Linked DNA regions of Caenorhabditis elegans. Changing the gene in region 1 together with any one later gene gives a genetic interaction. Each region holds a gene or a part of one and is shown on either strand. Other genes may lie near its edges. The genes, in order: unc-54 and R10H10.7.

Region 1 (3,927 bases):
GTGTATCTCTTATTACAATCAAAAAACCTCGTCTCCTCCCGGTGGAACCCAGAAAATGCTGCTGGATGCTCCAAGCGCTCCCACATGCCTTCAAACTCCTAGGCGCCTGGAGATAGTGTTGCAATCAAGGAGAGCGCGAGACGAAGAATCAGTTGTTACTTTTGTCTGGGTCTCTAGGGGTTTCGTGATATTCCCGTGTTGTCTTACAGCATCCGCGAATTGTTTTCGTCAGGATGAAGTATGAGATTGTGGGATTTGGAGAGAAGCTGATTTGCTGGAGAAGCACAAAAATCTGAAGAAAATGTTTGAAGAAGATAAAGCAAACGGAAAGACTATCCAGTTACATACATACTATCATGAGAATGATTTATGAGCCTTTTCGTAAATTTTTAGACAGATACTATTATCAGGAGACCTTTTAAAGCAAACGCGACAACTTCATAGTAGTTACCAAGGCTCGAAAAATTGATTGGTGCAACTTGAAGTTCGAATGAGTAGAATTGATAAGTATTACAGGTGCCTCCAAATCGATTGTCCGCCACAATGATATACCTCGAATCCATCTGATCAAAATTATTACTGTAGCATTGAATCGCAGTACCGTAATCAAATATTAAATATTTTTGCCCCCCTCTCCTCTACGTATCAATAAAAATAGTCTTAAAACTTACTTCGACTCCAAAGTAGGTTAGTATCAATTTTGCAGACTTTATTTGTAATGCATTTCTAACAAGGAAATTTTTACATTTTACCCTCAAACTTCAAAATGAGACATGTTTCATCTGAAGTGTTTTAGATTATGTCACGAAAGGTATGTCACTGCAAAATTTTAAGCAGCAATACTTTTCTCTCAACCCCTAAAATATCGATCTGAAATTGTCTCATTTAACCACTACTTTAGAGACCTGCATAATTGCTCTAAATGCTTTTTTGCAAACTTTGAAAGTTTTTCAGGAAGTGTAGGTAAACACTCCGGGAGGTTTTTAAAGAATTGTGATTTTTTTGGAGAATTGGTCTAAAAATTTTTTTGATTTTTTTTTTGAAAGAATTGTTATAACAATTTTCTTGATTTTTTTGCAAAAAAAATTAAAGGAAAACTGCACTGAAACAATTTCAGATCAACAATTTTAGGGTTGATATTAGAGCTTTGCCGCTTAGAATACTGCAGTGAGTATTTTCGGTTTTCACTGGTCTCTGTAAAAAGAGTAATGCAAAGGCAAGTTAACTAGGTCGTAAATGTATTGATTTGCTTAAAATCTGAAGATCTAGTGGTGAACCGTGGAAGATTATCAAGAGGAGGCTGAAGATCTGTTTAAGAACCATTAATCAAACTGGTATTCTATTTTCACTGGTTGTATGTAAACATTCTATCTTATTCCTTTTATCACTGTTCTGCACTTTCCTATAAAAAAAGTTGACCGACCGTACTCTCTGAATTCATTTTTCCCGATCTTACCAACTCCCGATCTATCTCTATCCCTGGTTTTTTCTTCGTGCTCCAATGGAATTCTTGAGACTTCCACTATCTTCTCTGGCACCCTCCACTACGCGTAGGCGTCTCTCGCTTCGTGTATTCCCGGGAAGCCGGGTTCCCGTCTCTCCCGCCGCTGCCGCTGCCGCACACAGCTTTACACCTCGTAGAATCCCCAAAGAGGGGCGTGGCTTGCGGGTGCCAACATCCTCCTGCCGAGGAAGAAGCAGGCACTCATCACTCGCATCATCAACCTCGACTAAGGGAGCACCACATTAGTTTTGAGGTAGAGAAACCATTTGAAAGAAGCGAGAAATCATGGAGCACGAGAAGGACCCAGGATGGCAATATCTCCGCCGTACCAGAGAGCAGGTTTTGGAGGTGAGTATTTATTTTTTATTTATTTATTTTTCTTTCATTTGTCTTTATTGTTATGCTCATTTCTATAGAGTAAATCGTATAGTACTCCATAAGTATCTAATTTTAACAAAACTGAGCATTTATTTTTGAAATTCTAGATTTTTAACATACAACTGAGTTAAAGTCTGCCATTTTACACTTATAGATTTTTTAAATTCAGGTAGAAGATTTGAGCTTGCCTTGTAATCCTTGTAATCAATGTTTATTTCTGTTTTCTAATTTTTCATAGATTTAGCTTCAAGATCATCTTTCCCTTGAAATCATTGAAATCTTCCTTTCTTAAATTTTTGCATTGCACTTGGAATTTTGTGACACATTGTGCTGCAGTAGTACTGTATTTTGAGACGGCACATTTATTTTGACTACACCACAAGCTTAACCTTGATTTTACTTTTTGATTCCATTCCATTCATGGGTCTAAAGTGTGAAGCGGTTTAGACCATTTTTCAACACAAGTTGGTATTCTTTAGAAGTGATATATTTCTGAATTCTGATCTCTTTTGTACCATTATTGTAATTTCAGGATCAATCTAAGCCTTATGACTCCAAGAAGAACGTCTGGATCCCAGATCCAGAAGAGGGATACCTTGCCGGAGAAATCACCGCCACCAAGGGAGACCAGGTCACCATCGTCACCGCTCGCGGAAATGAGGTTCGTTTTTAAGCTAATGATTACGGTTTTCAATGTAGTGTGATTCAGGTCACCCTCAAGAAGGAGTTGGTTCAAGAAATGAATCCACCAAAGTTCGAGAAGACCGAAGACATGTCCAACTTGTCTTTCCTCAACGACGCCTCTGTCCTCCATAACTTGCGTTCCCGTTACGCTGCTATGCTCATCTACGTAAGTTTCATTGAAACTTAAAGTTAAGCATTGAGAATCATTCATATTCTTCTTCTAAATTCCCATAAAATCCCGAAACTCCTTCCCTCTATCTTCTTTTCTTCTCGTTTTCAAATGTTTCTCTCTATCCCATTCTCTCATCAATTGAGTGGGATGAGGCTATCTCTGCCTCTCTTCTGAATCTCTGAACCATCTTACATTACACTGTGGATGACGGGAGCCCCACAGGCTCCCTTGCATCAGATACTGCCATTGGGGATGGCAAAGAAGAGAGAAGGTATTGTGAGGATATATTTTTCTAAGAAAAAACGTTTGAAGAAAAGAAGATGAAGAAGATCTGCTTGATTCATTGCACAAGTTAGAAGTAACAGGGGTCTATATTTCGAAGAACTTAAAGGGAATGCAACTGAACATAAAATTAAACAAAGGGATTGAATCCTGCAGTATTTAAAAATCGAAACTAGAATGTTTCCTATTTCAGACCTACTCCGGACTTTTCTGCGTTGTCATCAACCCATACAAGCGTCTCCCAATCTACACCGACTCTTGCGCCCGTATGTTCATGGGAAAGAGAAAGACAGAAATGCCACCACATTTGTTCGCTGTCTCTGACGAAGCCTACCGTAACATGCTCCAAGACCACGAGAACCAGTCTATGCTCATTACCGGAGAATCTGGAGCCGGAAAGACTGAGAACACCAAGAAGGTTATTTGCTACTTCGCCGCTGTCGGTGCCTCCCAACAGGAAGGTGGAGCTGAAGTTGATCCAAATAAGAAGAAGGTCACCCTTGAGGACCAAATCGTCCAGACCAATCCAGTACTTGAAGCCTTCGGTAACGCCAAGACTGTCCGTAACAACAACTCATCCCGTTTCGGAAAGTTCATCCGTATCCACTTCAACAAGCACGGACGCCTCGCATCTTGCGATATCGAGCATTGTGAGTTACTTTTTGATTTATATTCTAGCATAGCTCAATAAAAATTATGCAACTATTGTTTTAAACTATAAATTTTGCAGACTTGCTCGAGAAATCTCGTGTCATCCGTCAAGCTCCAGGAGAGCGTTGCTACCACATCTTCTACCAAATCTACTCTGACTTCCGTCCAGAGCTCAAGAAGGAACTTCTTCTTGACTTGCCAATCAAGGATTACTGGTTCGTCGCCCAGGCCGAGTTGATCATTGACGGAATCGATG
Region 2 (3,927 bases), on another chromosome or scaffold:
TATCTGTTACCGGGTTTAAAAAAAACTAGAAATATTTTAGCTCTTTTTTTTTAACAAAAACCCAAAAATTAATTTTTTGTTAAAAACACGGAAAAATCAAACGGATTGATAAAGGATACCGCCGAAAAATTCCTGAAATACTAATTTCTCAAATAATTTCAGGTGTTCGAATGCGAGCTCCTCGTTTGGATGATGGGCAACAAGTTGAAGAAGTTCAGAAACGCGAGTCTGAGATCTTTCAAAGTCTTGTGGAGGAACGTGAAAGACTTCAGCGAGAAGCTGAAATTATGGAAGATCGTCAGAATCCTGATTGGGAAGAACAAGAACGTAAAGCTCGTGAAGCTGAAAATGCTAAAAGAGAGTTGGCTCAAAAAGCGAGAGAGAAGCATCAACAAATGATACGAACCAGTGAAAGTATCTTACCAGCACTGAAAGATCACAAGGCAGGAAGCTTGAGAGAAGCTATGTATGTTTTCATTCATCCATATAATTTTTATATTAAAAAATTACAGCAAAAATTTGCCACGTCCACCAAAGCCAAAGTCCCGTGCAGCTATCATTGATTGGTTCCAACGAGAAGAACTTCCAAGAGGCACTGGACTGGATCCGAAAACGAGAGCTCCAGCTCCATGGTTCCATGGTATCATTTCAAGAGATCAATCTGAAGTTCTTTTGACGCATAAACCTACTGGATCATTTTTGGTCAGAGTATCTGAGCGAATATGGGGATATACAGTATCTTATGCTTCACGTGATGGTTCATTCAAACATTTTCTGGTTGAGAAGATTAAGGAAGGATATCAGTTTTTGGGAACCAATCAAGTCGTTCATGATGAGCTTTTTGATTTGGTCGCTTATCATGAGGTAACTTTTTTTTGAAACTTTCTCGGTTTTTTAAAGTTGGTGTAGTTAGTGTCGATGAGGATTTTACTTCAAAATAATTATAAAAGGCCGATATACTACTACGGAAAAACTAAAAAACTTGTTGAGTTAGAGAAAAAATTTTGCCGAATTTTCAATTTTGGATAATCTCCTCATTTGAATTGCCGCGCTTTAGACTCAAAACTCCGCCCAGTTTTCCGTGTCGCACTTCGACTTTTTTCAATTTGGACGCAAAACCTTCGTATTTCACTTAATTTTCAGATGAAAAATAGCAACTTTGAAAAATCCTGCCATTTTGTTGTAAAACTACAAAACATCAACTGTTTGTTGAATTCTGAAAGAAAATTTGAATGGTTTAGTAATGTAATATTTTTTACAAAACTATTCATACATTAAAATCTATCAAAAATTCTATGAAAAGCAGAGAAATGTTCAAATAAATTTTAAATTATTTCAGACTGCACCCATAACAGCTAAAGGCGCTGAAATACTGAAGTGGGCTGTTGGACAGCCAAGACAACCAGCCGATTACAATGAGTTGATTAATGTAACCATTCAACCAGTTAATTTATATGGAGGAAATTCTTATTCATCTCGTAGCATCGTTCGAACCATTCCAACGACGATTTTGAATGGTCCCGTTGGAAGATTTTAGATGATTGCGATGTTTTCGCTATATTATTATATATATGCCTGTTACTTTTTCCTACACATCTCACTCCTCTTTTCTCATTTACTAAGTCTTTCAGCCTTTTTTCATTTCCTTTCTCTTCTCAAAGATGACTGTCTGTTTTTGTCGTTGATATGGTTATTCGATGGTCGGAAAAATATTTTTCATGACTTGTAATAATCCCATGTGTTCAAACCTATCACACTCAAATGCTACAGGTTAAATTGTAAAGTACATTCTCAGGTAACTTATTCCAATTATCACCAAGCACCCTCACCCAACCGCATCCTTCCAATTTAACACACCCCGTGCCCTTTGTATCCGTCGATCTCACTTCCTTCATGTGTTGTATTGAATTGAAAAAAGTTTGAAGCAAGTGCGCCCTTTCGGATTCACTGAATTTTTGTTTTGAATATGTAATAGTTGTTTCAAAAGGAAATGATACGACTATTAGCTACTTTAAATTCGCATTTCTTTCTCTTTATCAATTCATTTCAACACTCGATCATCCGCTCACGCAGTTCATCAATAATTCAAGAACGGGTCCCTCTTGATCTATGTCTTGATTCAATTTGACCATTTTTAAAATCAGTTTTTATACGTTTCCACAAAATCTGTCCGTTTTTCTCCCTGTTTTTCTTTTTAATAAACTTTCGTTTTGAATGTTAAATAGAATTCTTTCAGAAACTAATTGTTAAATCTTCAATTAATTTATGGCGTATTTCCAAAATTGTCATCGACATAAAACTTTTGGAATCTTTAACTTTTCAGATGGAAATAATGAGTCGAGAAGAAGATGGACGGCTTTTTCAAACTGCCACCAACAGTATATCACTCATAATACAGTCAAAAAGAGATGGAACGAGAATTACAGATAAAATCGTGGACGAGATTGTGCTTGTTCTACAGAGTATGTAGGCAATTTTTGTCGGTGATTTTTCTATAGAGAGAATATTTAAATAAGCACCAAACATTTTATAAATACAAGGTCCTGACACGAAAAATTTTGTCAAATGCAAAAAAAGTCCTGTAATTCCAAACTCTCATTGCTGCGAAGATTTACAGTAATCTTTGAAATCGCACAACTTTTCGGATATATATGTGTATATAACAATAATATGATCGTGTCGAGACCCGTAATTTGACGCTAAAATCGCAAAATTTCGCTTCTGGGTTATATTTCGAATTCCGAAATTTATAATCGAAAAACAAATTATTTTTCAGTGGAAGAGATGAAATTCTCTCGGACGCAGCAACAAACTGCCGGAGCTGCGATCATCGTTTCATCGAAAGCTATTCTTCCAAAAATGACAACTCCCGAGAAGATTTCACTGATTCGAATGTTCAACCAAGGGCTTGAAATGATATCCACCTTTGATGAGGTTTTGTGAAGATTTGAACATAATTTAAAACTGTAATTTTTTTTCAGCTTCCAGGATTTCGTTGGTCAAATGTGCAGCCATTGTTCCACATGTATATGGATGCAATTCCTAGAGACTCACCTGGTGCCACGAAAGTTTTGAACTTTCTTCTCAAAATTTTCGATGTTCTTAAATCATCGCCCCACGTGAATGAAGGCAACTTTTAAAATTTGAAAATCGTCTTAATATTTGTTCTTTCAGATTTCTTCAGTTATCATTCAATTCTCACGTTAGGACGTCTCATTAACAAAACAATGGAAATTATCACAAATTCAACTTGTGACGTAGAACTTCGAAAATTGGCTCTAGAAGTTGTATCCCGGCTCATTCGACAATGTCCTCCATCAAAAGCACCCACGATTTCGTTGATAATTTCAGGTTTTTTGGGGAATCTCATGAAAACCATGAAAGGAGTTCAAGTTAATGCAGAGTTGATGGAGAATTCCATAAATGTGAGTTTTTTTGTAAATTGCCAAAGCATCGTATAAGAATATTTTCAGTTGTTCACCGATGCAGTTGTATTAGTATTCAGTGATAATGCCGAGAAATTCGACATATCAAAAATTAATCTGGAGCAATATCATCCGGAAATGCATAAAATGTTTGATAATCAAACTGTTGAATGGAGACAAAATGGAAGTGATATCATTTTCGAATACATGAGAAATTTACTCAGTTTCGGTTTTAATCATCGAGTATTCGACGTTAAAAAAGCCATGTGCCAGATGATAATAAAAATTCAAACGGAATGCGGACAGCTTTTTGGAAAAAGAAATTATAATCTTCTCATGAATCAATACTTTTATTTACGATATGATGATTATCCATAGTGAGTGAATTGTATCAAATTTCGAGAAAAAAGTTCAAATTTCAGCTTCCAAGAACTGGCAGAAAAGTGTATTTCTCTTGTAAATGATCGAGAAACCATTCGATTATTCTTCATGAAACAACTTT

Evidence for each region.
Region 2: of unc-54 (region 1) and R10H10.7, changing one suppresses a phenotype caused by changing the other (phenotypic suppression), as found in Caenorhabditis elegans (one study listed by BioGRID).

What each region holds. Positions count from the first base shown.
Region 1 is NC_003279.8:14,861,313-14,865,239, reverse strand, and holds the start of unc-54 (Myosin-4), read left to right. Parts: upstream 1-1,757; 5' UTR 1,758-1,789; coding exon 1,790-1,852; intron 1,853-2,414; coding exon 2,415-2,543; intron 2,544-2,591; coding exon 2,592-2,732; intron 2,733-3,213; coding exon 3,214-3,670; intron 3,671-3,750; coding exon 3,751-3,927. UniProt on the Caenorhabditis elegans protein: Required for muscle contraction.
Region 2 is NC_003282.8:10,412,325-10,416,251, reverse strand, and holds the start of R10H10.7 (TTI1 C-terminal TPR domain-containing protein), read left to right. Parts: upstream 1-2,323; coding exon 2,324-2,462; intron 2,463-2,776; coding exon 2,777-2,934; intron 2,935-2,981; coding exon 2,982-3,129; intron 3,130-3,174; coding exon 3,175-3,425; intron 3,426-3,473; coding exon 3,474-3,802; intron 3,803-3,847; coding exon 3,848-3,927. Other genes in the region: F13B12.6 (SH2 domain-containing protein), read left to right, coding at 163-466, 513-864, 1,340-1,537.